Linked DNA regions of Caenorhabditis elegans. The protein of the gene in region 1 purifies or fractionates together with the protein of each later gene. This does not show direct contact. Each region holds a gene or a part of one and is shown in the gene's direction. Other genes may lie near its edges.

Region 1 (5,215 bases):
CAAAAAGAATTGTGTTAAGACCTGCATAAGGGGGTAAAAATTAAAATTGAACTGGGTGGGGACTTATTACTCACAATTATCAAGGCACATACGTTTTGATTACATAATGGTGAAAACGACTATTTTATGAATATTTCAAAACTCTGGCGGTAACACGAGAGATATGGGGAAAGGGCGAGTCGAAATTTATCGATGGCTCGGCGAGCAGATTCAAATGGACATAAATCGGTTGATGTCCCATTCTCCTTCTCGAACTCGACGTCTTCTTCGACTGTCCACTCGTTTTCATCGAATTCGAAACCAAACTCGGTGGTGCTAGGATGGGATCTGGTTCGTGGCGACAGGAAGACTGGCGAGAAAGTCTGATTGTTGTCTTTTGGTGAAGTGACGTCAGCTGAGGTCGATGGCTCGGAAACAGTGGACAAGGTAGTCGACATCAACGCGAGAGTCAAGCAGTAGATAAGAGATGTGGAGCTGATGAATTCAATCAATTGCTTGACGATGTCCATAATAGGAACCATTGACGACTGAAAATAATGAAATAACGATATTAAAGATTAGGTTTTCCGAAAAAAAAAATTGAAAAAAAAATCAAATTTGTCAATCAAAATTTTTTTATATTTTATGTAGAAAAACCAGAATGTGAGTATTTTTTCCTACATTATTTCAATTTTTCAGTGATTTATAAAATAAAGATATCTCACCAATTGCAAAAGCTCATTGTATGTCATAAACCCGTTCTTCTCTACAAATGATCCAGCCACCCATTTCTCCATATTGTCTAGATAATTTTCAAATTCGTCGTTCTTCACAGCTACGTTCCAATCCTGAAAAAAAATTTTCATTGATGAAAACTTGCGGATGAAAAAAAAAACATACGAGATTTTTTACTAAATTCCATTCCTTCGCATTCAGATCTTCCGGTGTCATTTTCAGTGATTCAGCCCATTCTGAGTTAGAAACGCGGTCGTAGGTATCAGCATCGTGCATATACTTCGAGGCGAGAACGAGAGCAGGTACATACAGGGAAACCGGGTCAGTAGATTCGAAAAAAGCCTTTTTCTGAACTCGTAGACGATCCAAATAGACAAGGGCGACTACGAGTGTGCACGGGTCAGCGTAGCCACATTTTGAAATCATTGCCGATGTGTTAGGTTCCATGTAATCGAAGGTGGATGTTTTGTCGAAATAGTCTACCACAAGTTCTGTAAAATTTTAAACTATGGTTATTTTCGTACCGCAGCATTGTTTTATTTGATTAAATAATGTTCAAAAGCTGAAACATTTTGAGAAAAATTTATATTTCAATGAATAAACTTTTTTATTTTGACATTTTTTTTTTAACTTACGAGATAGTGGATAATTCAGTGACGCCGGCTGTTTTGTTCCGTAGTTGAGCGAACGCTTCATCCTTTTTCGCATCTTGCGGAAATCGGGAAATAGCGGAGCCATCTGAAAGTTGTTCAAATAGAAATGAAGATAAAAGTAAGATCGGTGAGAATGTAAAAACACGAAAAAAAAATCTGTAATCGAGGAAGAGAGTTGTCACGTGAATTGTATAAAATTTGTGTTCGAGTCGATCACTTTTTGATCGAAAAAACAGCGATTGGAGGGGGGAAACAGGGAAGAGTTGCGGCAGAGAAGAGACCATAAATCGGCAACGGCATCAATGGCTGAGTATCGCACACAATGATGAGCAGAGTCGCTACGCAGACACGCGACGCGTTTACCCTGCGTCGCGGTCACCATTGCAAAACCTCCCGCCAAAATAAATTTCGAATTTTGACACTCTTGATTCGACTAAATTAGTGCGCCAAATAAATGAATGTTTATTTTTTAGAACAATACTCGTTTTTTTCTAAAATATTCATTAAAAAATATGTAAATTTTAAGCATTTAGGTTGACGAATGGTCCTAAATTTTCCTAAATTCCTAAATTTGTATTTCACAGCTTTGAAATTAAGTTTTATTCAGTAGAGATAGGTTTTTCAAACAAAGATGGTAGTTATTTCTTTACCTTAGCTCTAAATCACTAATATTGTCGTAGAAAATCAATTATTCAGCATCAAATTATTAAGGTTTGTTGAGTACATACAGTATGATCGCTTTGAAATTGCATGCAAATATTATCCACAGTTTTCTTTTCGAATCGTACCTACATTTTTCCTTATTTTAACGATTATTATCTCTTTTCGTGTTATGCTTTTTTGCTCACATCATCATTTTTCAGTCATGTCGGCCGAAACTGCAACCATACCCGAGGTTTCAAACCAGGAAACCAAAGCTGAAAAGGTTATTGCTGATTCCCTTGAAGGTAAACTAAAACAATGCCATTTTTTGAAACTAAACTTAATTTTCAGCAAAGAAAGATGAAAGCGCAGCAGTCGAAATCAACGGTAGTTCTACCCACGAAAATGGCGACACGAACATTGAGAAGAAAACAGAAGAGGTTCGGTTATGAGGATCAGATGCAGTTTTTATAATTCTTTACTTTTCAGCCAGTCGTTGAAGCTAAAGTGTCGGAAGAGCCAGCCACTACATCAGAGACCCCTGCTGCTCAAGTCACCGAAAGTCAGAAGGATGAGAAAACAGATGATGCTCCAGCTGAACCTGCAGAAGTTGCCGTCGAGGCGGTTAGTTTTTTTTGAAATTTAAATATCAAGTATGAAATTTGTTTACGTCATTTCTAAATATGTATTTATCAGTTAGTTCAAGAAACGACAGAGTATAACTTTTTAATTAAACGTATTTTACGACTTGCTGCGCGCGAGCAATGTTGTATCCATAGCAACAATGAGGCGATGGAAGCGAAAAGCTCAAAAATATATTAAATTTCGAAGAAAGAAAGTAAGAAAAGGTTTTTCCACATTATATGCATTATAAATTGGAAAGAATGAGAGCTGTTAGTTGTTTACTTTTCTAGAGAGTTGATGTTTGCCAAGCCAAGTTAAATTAAGATTTTTCAGGCTAAAGAGGAACCAGTTGTAGAAGAGAAGAAAGAGGATGCGCCTGAGCCTGTAGTCACCGAAGAGAAGAAATCAGAAGAGGCACCAGCACCGGAAGAAAAAAAATCGGAAGAGGTGGTCGCAGCTGAAGAGAAGAAAGAACCTGCTGCAGTAGTTGAAGAGAAAAAGGAAGTTCCAGAGACACCAGTCGTCGAAGACAAAAAAGAAGAAGCTCCAGCTTCTTCCGAAGAAAAGAAAGATGAGCCAGTTGTTAATACCGAAGAAAAGAAGGATGCCGCTGAAGCTCCTGCCGCAGACGAGGAATCAGAAGCTGCTGAAGAGAAAGTTGCCGAGACTACTGTAGCTCCAGTTGCTACACCTTCTGGGCGTGGACGTGGAAGAGGACGCGGAAGACCACCAGGACCAAATGCGACTCCAAAGGCTGCGGCTTCTGAGAAAAAGAGGGCTGCAAAGCCGAAGGCGGCGGTTAACCCAGAGTCAATCGCAGCCAGCAGACCACGTCGTTCAACATCGAACCGAATCGATTACGCAAACTCTGACACAAGCACTGTTCTCGCCGAAGTCGACGATGAAATTCCTGGAAAACTTTTCAGAGTGAGTTTCTTTGTGCTTATGGTCTATATAAATATTCATTTTTCCAGGGACGCAAGCCCCCACGGGGCAAGATCACAAAGTACGTCTCGGATTCTGACGGCGCACCATCGGATGAAGATGACGTTGACTTCGGAAAGAAGAAGAAAGGTGCTCCTTCTACTCGCGGAAGAGGACGTCCACCAAGCAGCAACAGACCAACTCGTGCTGCCGCCACAAAGAGATCTGCAAAGGTAATCGATCGTTTGAATATAATAATATTCTCAAAATTATCTTCTTTTTCAGGATGCTTCCGATGAGTCGAATGAGGATGAAATCGAATACGATGACAAAAGCGACGAAGATGTTTCTCCAAGAAAGAAGGCCAGAGGAGCACCTGCTAGAGCTGCTGCCGACGACGAAGATGATGAGGGAGAAGAAATGGACGCATCGGAGGAAGTTGAAGCCTAAATGGCTTAGGAAGTTTGTTATGTACTGGTGTTTCTATATCTCATTCTCCACTTCTTATTGCCAATTTTCAAAAGTAGGATGGTAGACTCCTATGGTTGCATTTTCATTTTTCCAAAAATTGCTATTTTTCTACGTTCTGTGAATGAGGTCTTTTCTAAATCAATCTCAACTTCTTCCCATCTCAATTTTTTTTCATCCTCTCTTCCCACATCATTATATATTTTTTTTAAGTATTTGAGTTACAACCAAACTGTTTGTATTAAAATATAACCATCCCCACTGTTGACAATTTATTTATCTTATTACCTCCTGAATTGTTTTCTAAAAAATTCAAAACTTCTCTACGTCGACTTTTAGAAATGAGCTTTTTTCAACGTAGAATCATGCTTTTCTCCCACTCTCTCAATGCTCACCCCTGGCTGAGTAAATATTTAAGAGTACTTGAATCGCAATTGATCTTCGTAAGCTTTTTTTCTAATTGAAACTCGACTGACGAGATTTTTCATCCAACAACTCCTATTTTATTCTCTGGCTCTCTTTTACATGTTTGAAAAACATTTAAATTGACATCTTGAAATAAATTGTTTTACCTGGCAAGTCTATATTTGTTTCTGAATCTTTTTTTGTAGAACAATTCCAAAAAGTAGTATATTTCGGTAAAGTTTATGAATAATTCGAACAAAAATTGAAGGATTCAGGTCAATGGTGAGTGGCAGAACATATTTGACGCCACACGAAAAGGAAGAAAACGGTGAAAGGAAAAACACGAGAATGGAGGTTTGTTTCGAGAGTTTCAGAAATTATAGTTCAAAAAGCTTTGCTCTGCTTTCGGCGGGGATAGGCGGCAGGGCTCTCGTGATTTCCAGCTGTAAGCAGCGAGAGCAAGTCTCGTCTGCTCAGTGCTCTCACTCCCAAAACAAAATAATTATTCAGAGAGGGCTCACACTCTCATATCTCTTTGCTATCTAAACACTTTGTGGCAGGGCTGTAGATTTTTCAGTTTTTTTTGTACTTTTGGACAAAACAATTCTTTTTCGCTTTTTCGATAAAAAAAAGTGTGCGAAAAAAGCGAACAACTTTTAAAACATCGAAACCTTCTCAAAAAACTTCTTCTCTGTTGCCCAAAGCCACTAACCGATGCCTCTGAGATTGATCAATTTCCGGCAACAACGGAGATGTCGACAGAGCCCATCAGTAGCTAGATTAGA
Region 2 (8,365 bases), on another chromosome or scaffold:
TCGTTGTTGGCGGACATTTAAATCATAGTTTAATATTTTTTTTACTAAATTTTGATTTTCTATATTATTTCTAGAGAATTTCTCGATTTTCAAAGAATTTCTTTTTGAAAACAAACATTCCCTTGAATATAACGTGAAAAATTGCTTTAAACATTCATTTCCTGCTAGAAAAACACTCGGGAAATAAATTTCTCCGCTGTTTTATCTATTTTTGCAATTTTCCTCATGATAACGCCTACAATTTCATTCGGTTTTTGCTGGGAATCTCTATGCAATATTCTTTTCTACTCGGTGAGTGCTTTCATCCGATTTTAGCAAGTTTCGATCTAAAATTTTCAGTTTTGCCCCACTCAACGTGTCATTTGCTCGGAGAAAAGCATTTGTGAATGTGCTGAAGCATAATAAAATGTTTAAAATTTTTCTTTATGACTAAAAATCGAGAAAAAACACAGGAAATCGCTAAATTAAGCATCTAGTCGGCGGGATTTTCAGTATTTCCAGGCGTCGGTGTGTGCTGGAAGCTGCTTGAGTCGATCCGCGTACATTTTTGAGTGACCCTGAAACAAAAATCAATTGGTTTTATGGATTTTTAGGTTAAAATATGCTAAAAATTGAATTTTCAGCACGATTTCAGCACGCTTACCTTCATCATCTCGGCCTTATTGTATCCGGCGCTCTCCCAGCAGCGGGCGAAATAGGCGACGGCCAACGTGGCAGTCCAAAGGCCTCTTTTGTCCCAAAAAGCGTTCTTGAGGAAATATGTGGCGGTGAAGGTACCCATTCTGCAAAAAAACTGGCATTTTTTAAAAGAAAACTCGGAGAAATACAGAAAATCAAGAGAAATTAAGGGAAAATCAGCAATTTTAGGGATTTTTTATTGAAAAATCATTATTTTCCTATAGAAACTAAATTTCAGATGAAAAAATGAAGAACTGACTCTAAAAATCTTAAAATCCACGTAATTTTCATTTAATTCATTTTCAATAACTTTCACTTTAACGCCTATTAAACGTGAATTATAGGTGAAAAATAACGTATTTTATCAATATTTCAATAAAGAAAAATAAGAAAAAATCAATAAAATCCCGAAAAATCGATTAAAAACCGGCAGAAAATAAATTCGACGACAAATAAAATGTGAGACAACGACGCTCCGATATTTCGGTGGCGCGTGTTGTTTAGCAGTTTGTGAAAAGGGTGGTTTTTCAAATAGGGGTTTTGTGGAAATAGTTTTTGTTAGGTTTTCCAAGCGAAAAATAATGGTTTAATCATTGGAAAATTGAATGAATCGACTGTGAACAACTCCTCAACAAATTTCAATAGATAAGCTCTTGCAAAGTTTTAAAAAGTAAAACCAGCGTCCACTTCAAGCGGTCAAAACCAAAATCAAAACCTTCAAATTTTTACTATATAAATCCAAAAAAGATTACTTGGAGGTATGGGGAATCGAACCCCAGACTTCTCGCATGCAAAGCGAGCGCTCTACCCCTGAGCTATACCCCCATATTCTGCTTGATTGCAATAGGAAAAGAGGAGTCTACGGGTGTAACGAAAGCGAGTAAATCTTGAATTGATGCGTTTTCCTGTTAGATTATCATTGAACCACTCCTTCAGGGTTGAATTTGTCTTTCTGCATTCAGGTTTACCTCGAATTCTTGAATTTCGGCCTGTTTTTCTCTTTTAAAATCAATCATAATTAAATCAAATTGTCAGGGACTAACTTCCCAACTGCAACAACCACGCTCCATTGATAACAATTCTAGGCCATCACTCATTTTTTGAATTAATTTCCCGATTTTTCTCGAATGTTTTCAGCATGTTTTTGCGGAATCTTTCTGGAATTCTTGAAAAATTCTTTTGAAATCGTTAAATATGAAAAATTAGGTTCATTTTAACATAAAAACCGTAATTTTCTGTCGATTTTTCAGCGGGAAAATCGAAAATCTCGCTTTTTAAAAAGCTTTTTATCACGTTTTTCTTCAAAATAATCCCAAAAATGTCGTTTTTTTTCAGTAAAAATGGCTGCATCTGCTGAAGATATCGCGTGGAAGAAGCTTCTCGACATGGCAACCGCCCACAGTTCAAAAAATACGGAAAAATCGGCAGAAGCCTCGGAAGATACCGCTCCAGTGTACTCTCGTGAGGTGATAATTGATTTTTAAATTTAAATTTTTAGTTTTAATTATTTCCAGAATCTCGAATTTCTCCAAAAAGCGATGACTCACTCATTCGGTGGAGATATGGAGCAGGGACCGTCCGTCATTCAAAAATTCTTCCATTTCGGCGATGAGAACCCGGAGAAGGTCGTTATGACCCCGGCGTTGTTGGCTGCGGCGAAGGAATTGGCCGATCAGCTTGATGATTACCTTATAATGGGCAACTTCTCGGAGCATTTCATTGCTGAGGGCGGCCTCAAGGCTCTCGCCAATCTCACTGTGCGTATTTAAGCAAAAAAAAGTGAAAAATTGCTTTAAAACATGCCTATGGAGTCACAATGACCGAATATCATGAGAAAAAATAAAAAAAATGTTTCTAGATTTTATATGATTAAAATCTCAATTTTCCCCTTATTCCTATTTGAATTACCACCAATTGGATTCGTTCGTTGGAGCGCGCTTGCACGTTTTTAAATTTATTTATTTATTTTATTTATTTCTCATATCAGTGTATTTTTGCTTGAAATTTGAAGAAAAAACCAAGATAAATTCAAATTTTCGATTAAAAAGCACGCTGACAGGCGTAAATCTGTGAAATGAATTAATTCAGGTTTGAAATCGTTTAAAATCGTTACTTTGTAATTTTTACGCCTGTAAGCGTGCTTTTTAATCGAAAATTTGCATTTATTTTGACTTTTTCTCTAAAATTCGAGCAAAAATACACCGAAAGCATTAAAAATCGGTGGAAATAACAAAAAATTAAAATAAATAAATTTAAAAACGTGCAAGCGCGCTCCATCGAACGAATCAAATTGGCGGAAATTCAAATAGGAATTAGGGGAAAACTGAGAGTTTTTCAATTTTCAAAAAATCATATAAAATCTAGAAAATTTTTTTGATTTTTTTAACCATGATATTCGGTCATTGTGGTACCATATGCGTGTTTTAAATCAATTTCTGTGCTGACGCTTTTCCCACTTCGTGGGAAAATTGCTTTAAAACATGCCTATGGGGTCACAATGACCTAATATCACAGTAAAAAATTAAAAAAAATAAACAAGAAAAATGTTAATTCAAGTTGTTCATTAAAAAATAACTGAAAATTCCTATTTTTTTTCCTAAGGCGCGTGGTCGTTGGCATTTTCAGTGATTTTTTAATGAACAATTTGCATTTTTCTTGTTAATTTCTTTCTCTTTCCGATTAAAAAACCCCAAAAAATGACAATAAATAAAATAAATTAATTAAAATAATGCAAGCGCGCTCCATCGAACAAATTCAATTGGCGGAAATTCAAATAGGGAATTAGGTGGAAAACTGAGATTTTTTCAATTTTCAAAAAATCATATAAAATCTAGAAAATTTTTTTGAATTTTTTACTATGATATTTGGTCATCGTGACCCCATAGGCATGTTTTAAAGCAATTTCCCCACAAAGTGTAGTTTGAATAAAAATTTAAATTTTTTTTCCAGATGTCACCAGACGAAGATCTGCGTCTCCTCTACCTCCGTCTCATCCCACAACTCGCCGAAAACCGCCCGGAATTCCAACAGGCAATCGCCGATTCTCCACTTTTCACAGCATACATGAAGCTGCTCAAACGTCAAGCCGAACTGAGCCCCCGAATTCTTTCAGCACTGCTCTCGGCGATTTCCTCCATCGTTCGGTCTCACTTGCCGGCTTATTTGAAGTTTCAGGCCAAGAATGGGCTCACGGCCACTGAGAAGCTTATTCAGAGCACGAAAGACCATAAAAATGCTGTAAAGGCTGGCCGTATGATCGTCAGTTTCCTGTATACACTTACTGGTACGGAAATTGCGGAAATTTTCAATCAAAATGGAAAAAAAAAGAAAAAATCCCTTTTTTCTTAATTTTCAAGAAAATTTGGTTTTTTAAAATCAAAATCTTTGTGAAAAATACAATTTTCCAGTCGGGAAATTGCTTTAAAACATGCCTATGGGGTCACAATGATCGAATATCATGATTAAAAAATTCCAAAATTCAAAAATTTTTCTGAATTTTATATGATTTTTTTTTTTGAAAATTAAAAAAATCTCAGTTTTTCACCTAATTCCTATTTGGATTTCCGCCAATTGGATTCGTTCGTTGGAGCGCGCTTGCATTATTTTTATTTATTTATTTTATTTATTCTCATTATTTCACTGATTTTCTTCATTTTTTTTTGTGTTTTTAATGGAAATTGAATCTTTAAAAACAAGATGAATGCAGAATATTTGTTAAAAAGTCACTGAAAATTCCTAAAACTTGAAAATAGTATATTTTACAGTTTTACGCATTTTCAATGAATTTTTAACAAAAATTCTGCGTTTATCTTGTTTTTAAAAATTCAGTTTCCGATAAAAACACAACAAAAAAATTGAAGAAAATCAGTGAAATAATGAGAATAAATAAAATAAATTAATGAAAATAATGCAAGCGCGCTCCATCGAACAAATCCAATTGGCGGAAATTCAAATAGAAATTGGGGAAAACTGTGATTTTTTCAATTTTCAAAAAATCATATAAAATCTAGAAAATTTTTTTGAATTTTTGGAATTTTTTAAATCATGATATTCGGTCATTGTGACCCCATAGGCATGTTTTAAAGCAATTTCCCGACTGGAAAATTGTATTTTTCACAAAGATTTTGATTTTCTTTTCTTTTTTTCCAAATTTTCTTTATTTTTCAAGAAAATTTGGGTTTTGAAAATCAAAATCTTTGTGAAAATTTCAATTTTTCAGCCTTAAAATTGCCAAAAAAAAAAATCCCAAATCACGATTTTCAGTCAAAAAAAACCCCCCGGTTTTTTTTGCAGATCTCCAGGGAATCGATGAAATTACTGAAGAAATTAAGAATAGTATTCTTAAAATCTATACTCTCCTGGATGGACGTTCAAGATTTGTGGATCGGGCCGATGATAGTGAAGAAACGAAGGAGTTCTATGAGGAAACTATGAAAATGATCAAGTATGGAGGTTTTTTTTCGATGGAAAATTGAGAAAAAAATGGGCTTTTTTTACCTTAAAACTGCTGAATTTTGGATATTTGGCTGGAATTGTGCGGAAATTTGCAATTTTTGTTCAATTTCCCCCTGAAAATTGTCCGAGAAAAACTGAAAAATCCAAAAAAAATTTTCTAAAATTTTACTAAAAAACTTAATTTTTCTGATATTAAAAATAATTAATTTTTTTATAAATTCTCCAAAAAATCGTGTTTTCTTCTAATTTTCTACAGAAATCTTTATTTTTCTGAATTTCTTTAAAAAATCTCACCTCTTTCGGAAATTTTACAAAAAGTGATGATTTTTCCAAAAATCAAATTATTTTTGTTGAGTTTTCTGCAAATTTTCAAAAAAAAAAAATTTGAAATTCTACAAAAAATTATGTTTTTTTTCTGAAAAATGGAAAAAAATTGAAATTTTTCCAAAATTCTTTGAAAAATCTAGATTTTTATGAAATTTTTCAAAATTTTTTTTTGTTTTTCTGATAGTAGGCATAATTTTTTATAAAAAATAAATTCGGCAAAAAATGTTTTTTTCTAATTTTTTAATAATCTTAATTTTTTCTGAAATTCTTTCTTCTCGATTTTTAAGAAATTCTTGTATAAAAACCATATTTTTCTGAAATCCCAAAAAAATTTTTTTTTCCGAAATCCTATAAAAAAATCTGAAGTTTTGTAGAAATAAATTTTAAAAATTCTCATTTTTCTGAAATTTTTCAAAAAATCGTTTAAAAAATTGGGCGGAACCTCTAAAAATCACGCCCATAAAATGGACGATACAAATTCGGATTTTTCTAAAAATTTTTTTTTAAAAATCGATTTTTTACCTAAAAATTCAAAAATATGCTCGAAAATCGATTTTCCCGCCAAAAATTCAAAAAATGTTTTTTCCAGATTCGAAATCATGCAAATGCACCCGGACATTATTACACCACAAACGAGAAAACTGCTCGAGGAGCACTTCAAAGAATCCAATCTTCGAGCAGGCCTGATGCCAATTGGTGGATGGCCGGTTATTCCAAAAAACGAGTGGCCACAGCCACCACAGCCACCCTGTCATAAAGCCAATAAGAATGCGGAGCCAAAAAAGGAGCCGGAGCCAGCGAAGAAGGTTGCTCCAAAGCAGGAGACAAAAGTAGATCAAGAAGCGGCAGAATTGGCGCGAAAAATTCAAATCGAGGAGGATAAAACTCGAAAACGCCACGAGATCGTCGCCAGATTCTCCATTTTGGACATTTACACGAAGGAAGAGCTCGCCGAGAAGCTCAAGTTGGACGCCGAGATGGAGATGGCTGAAGCTCAGAAGGTTCTGAAGGAGATTCGCTGAAAAGAAGAACATTTGTCTTTTTTTTTGTAATTTTTTCAAAGAATTTAAGAAAATTGAGCTTTTTTAAAAAATCTCAGAAAATTAGATTTTTTTTTTGGAAAATTTTAGAATTTTTGTAGAAAATTGTTTAAAAAACTATTTTTTTTGTTGTAAAATTCGCAGAAAAATCAAAAAAAATGCAGAATTTCAGAAAAAAATTTTTTTTCAGAAAAATCAGGTTTTTTTTGTAAAATTCTTAAAATTAAGGCTTTTCTAAAAATTTCAGAAAAAAATTTTTTTGTTTGAAAAATTTTAGAAAAATCTAGATTTTTATGAATTCTTCAAGCAAAAAATTATTTTTTTTTCTGAAATTTTCAGAAAAGCCTTAATTTTTAGAATTCTACAAAAAATCCTGATTTTTCTGATTGAAAAAAAAACATTTCTAATTTTTTTTCTGATATTCTTTTAAAAAATCTCAATCTTTCTGAAATTCTTTTGTTTTCCCCTAATTTCCATATTGCCACATGTCATTTGATCCCGGATAATTGTGAATACCGCCCGTCAAATCTATTTATTTACGCCCAAAAATTACATTTTGGCGCCCAATTTCAAAACTTTTTTCCAGGTTAAACTATCGGAGAGAACCATTTTCAACTGTAACCCAAAAAAAATTTCCTGAAAAATTAAGTGCGACGGAGCGCTTTTGACCTATGCAAGCACGTGGTGTCAGGAACTTAGGGTGCCCCATTTCGGCTTTATCTACTCTGATCTACAAAAAATGCGGGAAAAGAGACGCAGAGTTTGCTGACGTCACATTTTTTTGGCGAAAAAATTCCCGCATTTTTTGTAGATCAAACCGTAATGGGACAGTCTAGCAGCACGTGTGCACAAGTGCAATCGCGCTCTATTGAACAATAGCATCAGCGGCGATGGAAAAATCAATAAATCAAATTTTTCATTTTTTGGAATTTTTGGTCAAATTAATTCAATATAGGGGAATAATGGGCGATTGGGTCCACGTGGCATCACTAGATTTACTACGTTTGTTTGTTTTTTCAAAATAAAATTAGGGGAAATATCGGAAATATCGATTTTTAGGGCTTAAAAAGTGGGGAAACGTGGAAAATCAGGGTGTGGCTAACCCGTCTTTCAGGGTTTAAAACAGTCTTGTTTTTTAAAGGGAAATAGTGCCAGGCTGTCCCATAACGGTTTGATCTACAAAAAATGCGGGAATTTTTTGCCCAGTTGAGAACTCTGCGTCTCTTCTCCCGCATTTTTTGTAGTGATCTACGTAGATCAAACCGAAATGAGACACTCTGACACCACGTGAGATGGGCGATTCGTAGAAACTTTGGGACCGGGCAAGCGCGCTCTATTGAGAAATTTGAAAAAAAAAACACCAATTTTCTGTGAAAAACGTCGATTTTCAATGATTTTATGTGAAAATTCAACTTTTTAACCTAAGTTTTCACTGAAATTTGCCAGAAAAATTGAATTTTCAGTGATTTCAGCGTGAAATTCTCAATGGAGCGCGTTTGAGCAGCCGGGTTTCGACGATTCGCTCGAATTCGGGGACGGGGACGGAGATCGATGCGGTGATTTGGAAGAGAGCGATTTTCGCAGAAATCTGGAATAAAATGAGCGATGACGAGATGGAGAGAGTGTGCGCGGTGAGGAGGGCTGAGACGACGAGAGAAACGAGCCGCCGCCGCCGGTGCCGCTTGCCACGTCATCAGTTGGTTGCGGCCGCCTGTGCTGTCGGGCCGCCCGGTTGCAGTCGGATACAGTTGAACCGAAATGTCTGTGGAAGTGACAGCTTCTTTGCCACGTCCTTGTAGGCGTTTGTGTGCACGAAGCGGGAGAAACAGTCCTGAAAAATGACAAAAATTGATAATTTGAAAAAA
Region 3 (5,172 bases), on another chromosome or scaffold:
ATTTGGAGAAAATGATAACCTATGATGACGTGGCAGATGTCGTCTCATTACTTGTTTTAAATGGAAGTCCGTGTTATATGAATGGATCCGGAAAAGTTACTATTTTGGAGAATCAGGAAAAGTTGGTTTTTAATAGGGAAACAGAGATATATTGTAAAAATGTATATTCAGAATTTTCGAGTGCTCTCCACTACTGAATCCAATCTCTTCTAGCTTCGTAATTGAAAATCGAATTTATGTGCTATCGAACAAGTTTATCTCTAGCTTCACATCAGATTCTCCACTGGATTACGAGAACTATGAGACAGAAAAAGTCATTTTGGCAATTCTAGCGGAAATTAGCAATTATATTTTCAGACTATCACAACTGGAGATATTGGAAAATTTGGAGAAGATCGGCTCATGATTTTTGATAAGTTTTCTCAAACTTGTTTTGTCTGGGAAAAAGATAAACCAAAGTATGCAATTTAATTGAGCTTCAATTTTTAAAGAAACAGTTTTTTTTCAGAAATCCATCTCATCAACTTTGCTTTGGATCGTCTGAATATACAGTAGACGTGGCTTGCGACGAGGAGAATTTGTACTCCTTAACTTCTGCCGGCGTAGTTTCAGTTTGGAAATTGAAACCTAATGGGTATGCAGTTGCAGTCTTTGTTTACACGGTACTAAAATTTTTTAGAAGAAAATATCGAGATCAACTATTCACAACATACCTGAACCATTGCACAAAACTACTTTTAACATATTCTCAGGTATGAAACAAAGAAAATAATAAGCATATAACATGATTTCTGGGTATACAAAACACACGTTAAATGGAAGATCAGATTTTGAATATAAAAATTGGTTTTTAAAATCTGCCAAACACGGTCCCAGATTCTAAAAACATTTATCTTTCATTTAACGTTTGTTTTGTCTTACAAAAAATTGGCCAATTAATCTCTTTCTATATCAATTGAACAAATAAGGGAAATTCAATCCATGACGAGAGTCACTCAGAAAACAGCCTGTGCCTTTGAACTGACGCCCCAATTTTTTTAAAACGAAATCAGGATCCACAACTCTAAACGTTTTTTTTCATGGTTTCTGGCCACCTGGCGATCACCTAAAATGTTTTCTTTTTTCAGAAGTTTGTGATTCTCACCAACTCGGAAGTTCACTTTGTGGTGTTTGGCATTGACTCGACCAGTGGCCAACAGTGATCGGTGCCAGCCTCTACCGATCCTCATTCAATTGACCCCAATCCATCACTCGCCTGCTTAAAAACCCGCCGTTGCTCACAAATATTTTCTCTTATCTTCATTTCTTTGCAAAAATGATTGTCTCGTTTTCTTCTCCACAATCTTTTTGATATAAATTGATTTATTGAATGTTGATCGCGTTGCGTGTTGTAATATTGGCTCCTTCAGCATGGCGTGAGAGAAATAAAGAATTTAAATCAGAAAAGATAAAAAAGTTTCTGGAAGAAATGTTCTATTGAACAGGTAAAAATGAGACAACCAAAATTGACTGCGCCGCAAAATTTTTTGAAAGAGTTTCGTTAATAAAAAATCGGAAAATCTGGAAATATTTCGTTTCTTGTTCTGACTTTGGCAAGTTGGCAAAAATAGAAATTTCAGAGGCCAGAGCAATAACGTTTTTTGAGAATTTTTCATAAGGTCTCATTACGACATTCGATAGTTTTGAGCCATTTCAAGTCTAAAAATGTGTCAGATTTCCGTACTCCACCTGTTGCCTACCTGCCTTAAAGCGGACTCTAACTAACTAGTACCTGCTTCCAATAGGAAAGCTAAGAAAGACCTTTAAACTTGCCCACATTTAGTACTCTACGACTACAAAAAATAGACAATTTAAATTTCCTGAAGCTGGTTCTCCCCTGCCTCACAGAAATTTATAGAGTACACGATGGCACTAGTCGTTTGATCTCTATCTTATCAAAATCAAATCTTTTTTTTTTCAAATTCAAATCTTGTGCACAACCATCTCCCCAATCTTCACAGATCCACATTGTCCTCAAATTGTCCTTTGCCTTCTTCTGGCTCCGCCCCTATGGGACAGTCGAGACTCCGCCTCCTTCTCTCCAATGTCTCAGACAAACATCACAAGATATCTGTTTTTCTTTCTTGTCATGTTCCATGCTCAACCTCTAATTCATTGAATTTCAGGTATGAAAACCCTTCTGCTTCTCGCCTTCTTCGTCGGGGTGACCTGTGGAGAAGAGATCAAGGATTTGCCAGGATTGGACTTTGAGCCGAATTTCAAGCATTATTCCGGATTCTTCCAAGTTTCGGATAACCATGTGCTTCATTATTGGTGAGTATGAAGGACAGAAGTTAGCCTAAAAAGTGCAAACTAGCATGAAAGTAAAAAAAGTCTTGTACCTTTTCAATTTTTCGTCGATCGAAAGGTTGTTTGAAACAGTGTTCAAGGTGTGAAATAGGTTCAGAAGCTTACACAACGAAAATCTTACACAACAAATCTTACACGAAAATCTTACAACTTACACAACGAAAATCTTTTGAATGCGAGCTTGCCTTCATACCGGCTTGTCTAATAAATCATCCTAAATCATTATTCCAGGTTCGTCGAATCCCAAAACGAGCCATCCAACGACCCACTGATCTTCTGGTTCAACGGAGGACCAGGATGCTCTTCCTTGGACGGACTTCTCAATGAAATGGGACCATATGTTGCCAATGAAGATGGAAAGACTCTTCGTGAAAACGAGTACTCATGGAACAAAATGGCTTCAGTTGTCTATATTGAGTCTCCAGCTGGAGTTGGTTACTCGTATGCCACTGATGGAAACATCACAACCAACGATGATTTGACTTCTCTTGAGAACTACGAAGCTGTCAAACAATTCTTCACTGAATTCCCACAATTCCGTCATCATCAGACATTCATTATGGGAGAGTCTTATGGAGGAGTTTATGTTCCAACTCTTACCGCAAGAATTGTTGATGGACAAAAGGACTTCCCAATTAACTTGAAAGGAATGGCACTTGGAAATGGATATGTTAATGAGAAGCTTAACATTGATACCTCTGTCAGATTTGCTTATGGACACGGACTTATTGATGAGAAGATCTGGAATACTCTTGAGAGAGATTGCTGCAGAGGATGCATTGATTCATGTGATTTGACTCAAGTCACCGGACACTGTGCAACTCTCGTTGAGGACATCTTCCAATTCTTGTGGTTCGGAGGATTGAATCCATATGATTTGTACAGAGATTGTGATCCAAATCCATCAGTGAACAGCAAGAGAATGAAGCACATGTTGAGAGGAGTTGCTCCAGCAATGGCCCATTTTGATGAGCTCTTGAAAAATCAAACAAAGACTTCCCTTTATCAATTTTTGAAAGTATGTGGGGTAGCAGCAATGGGAAAATGTAAAAATATCATTGGAAAACTTTTCAGAAAATTTTTCAGTACTCAGTTTTCACCTAGTGTCACGGTAGGTGTCACGGTCATGAGATCATTATCAGCAGTTTTTTTTTTTGAAAACTTTGAAAATTGTTTTGTGAACGAAACCCTGCAAGGATTATATTCAAACAATTTTTTTGCCATCCAAGTAAAAAAAATTAAAATAGGAAAAAGGTTATAGAATTTTTTTTGGTCAAATTGCATATTTAAAACTTTTTTAATTTGATCAATAATTACCACCATAGCAGTCACTTCATATTTGTATCTTTCAGAACAAATCTCAATCCCAAAAGCCACTTAAGGCTGATGTTCCATGCCTCAACGATACTGAGATGCTCTCCTATATGAACAATCCAAAGGTTCGTAAGGCAATCCACATTCCATTCAATCTTGGAAAATGGGATATCTGCAGGTGAGCCTGAGCCAAAGAGCCCAAGCCCAGAGATCAAAACAAAAATTTTCAGTGACAAGGTGACTACTACCTACCAGAAGCAGTACACCGATATGACTCCATTCATCAAGAAGATCGTCAAGAACCACGTCAGAGTTCTTTTGTACTATGGAGATACTGATATGGCCTGCAACTTTATGATGGGACAGCAATTCTCTGATCAACTTGGACTTCGTAGAACACTTAAAAAGACTCCATGGAAGTATGATAGACAAATCGCCGGATTCAAGACACTTTTCGATGGGCTCAGTTTCATCACTATTCGCGGAGCTGGACATATGGCTCCACAATGGAGAGCTCCACAAATGTACTACGCCGTTCAACAGTTCCTGAATAATCATCCACTTTAAATTTGGAGAACAAATAATATTTTTATCTTCTTATTTATTTTTCAATCTATTGGTCAATTTTCCAAGTTTTGAATAATGAAATTTGATTTTTAAATTTTGTGATTTTCGAATACACTGAAATATTTTTCAGAAAGCTTCCAAATAACTGTAATCGGTTTACTCATATGACGTTTGGATTAAAATTTCAAGTAATTTCGATTAATAAAACTGATGTTCTACTTATTAATACGTTGTACCTTTGGAAATAGTCAATAAATAATTGGAAAGTCTTGTTTGTTCGAAAAAATATCGATTTGAAATCTCAAAAATGCCTTTTGTGGCACTTCCAACCAACATAGTTACTTTTTGTCCAATTTCTCAATAAAAATCGTATTAATTGAGCGAAAATACTACGAATTCAAAAGTTTACCATTCAAATTTAAATTTTCCTTTTTCCCGCCGATTTTCGCTACTTCGGCCATGTGCGAGTTTCTAGGCCACGCGGAAATGCACGGCGGCCACGTGGTCCGCAATTTTACGTACACGTCATTTCCGCGGAATTTCCAGTTTTATTTTCCGATTTTTCGCTTAAATTTTTCAATTCGAGATAAAATCAGTTTCATTTGCTAAAAAGAAACGCAAATTTATTTCAAAAAATCAATAATCTTCTTCTATTTGTTTTTCTATGACCGATTCTTTTGAGAATTTAATTTTTTTCAGCCGTTTAAAAGAGAAACCACTTGGGTCCAGTCAAAATGATGAATTTCGAAGTAAGCACAACAAAACGTAAGTTTGAAAATCAGAAAATATATGTAAACTGTGAAACATTTCAGAAATCGGAGTGGGGTTAACGACGTTCGGCTTCTTTTTCATATTTCTCGGAGTGCTGATGTTCCTTGATTCTGCTCTTTTAGCTATCGGAAATGTAAGTATTTATTGTAAATTTAAAGCATAAAATTATTA

What was found. The genes of interacting proteins can lie anywhere in the genome.
Region 2: the proteins of attf-2 (region 1) and Y38E10A.22 purify together in Caenorhabditis elegans (affinity purification with mass spectrometry, with the first as the bait; one large-scale study listed by BioGRID). This does not show direct contact.
Region 3: the proteins of attf-2 (region 1) and ctsa-1.1 fractionate together in Caenorhabditis elegans (co-fractionation; one large-scale study listed by BioGRID). This does not show direct contact.

Annotation. Positions count from the first base shown.
Region 1 is NC_003283.11:7,193,153-7,198,367, reverse strand, and holds attf-2 (AT hook Transcription Factor family), read left to right. Parts: upstream 1-2,230; 5' UTR 2,231-2,232; coding exon 2,233-2,314; intron 2,315-2,360; coding exon 2,361-2,449; intron 2,450-2,498; coding exon 2,499-2,633; intron 2,634-2,966; coding exon 2,967-3,560; intron 3,561-3,607; coding exon 3,608-3,790; intron 3,791-3,842; coding exon 3,843-4,007; 3' UTR 4,008-4,602; downstream 4,603-5,215. Other genes in the region: F09G2.2 (Protein CNPPD1), read right to left, coding at 120-527, 705-827, 880-1,205, 1,350-1,452; putative phospholipase D F09G2.8, read left to right, coding at 5,145-5,215.
Region 2 is NC_003280.10:12,671,452-12,679,816, reverse strand, and holds Y38E10A.22 (Armadillo-type protein), read left to right. Parts: upstream 1-2,013; 5' UTR 2,014-2,018; coding exon 2,019-2,144; intron 2,145-2,192; coding exon 2,193-2,435; coding exon of another isoform or gene 2,436-2,447; exon of another isoform or gene 2,448-2,614; intron 2,615-3,627; coding exon 3,628-3,961; intron 3,962-4,971; coding exon 4,972-5,122; intron 5,123-6,049; coding exon 6,050-6,482; 3' UTR 6,483-7,547; downstream 7,548-8,365. Other genes in the region: Y38E10A.33 (Nodule Cysteine-Rich (NCR) secreted peptide), read left to right, coding at 226-291, 340-402; Y38E10A.24 (Complex I-B12), read right to left, coding at 489-557, 644-781; rgs-4 (RGS domain-containing protein), read right to left, coding at 8,194-8,331.
Region 3 is NC_003280.10:4,735,483-4,740,654, forward strand, and holds ctsa-1.1 (Serine carboxypeptidase ctsa-1.1), read left to right. Parts: upstream 1-2,165; 5' UTR 2,166-2,167; coding exon 2,168-2,313; intron 2,314-2,580; coding exon 2,581-3,367; intron 3,368-3,701; coding exon 3,702-3,841; intron 3,842-3,893; coding exon 3,894-4,230; 3' UTR 4,231-4,320; downstream 4,321-5,172. Other genes in the region: F41C3.7 (WD_REPEATS_REGION domain-containing protein), read left to right, coding at 1-121, 172-313, 358-458, 509-634, 680-752, 1,128-1,202; eas-1 (putative Golgi transport protein 1), read left to right, coding at 4,965-4,995, 5,043-5,134.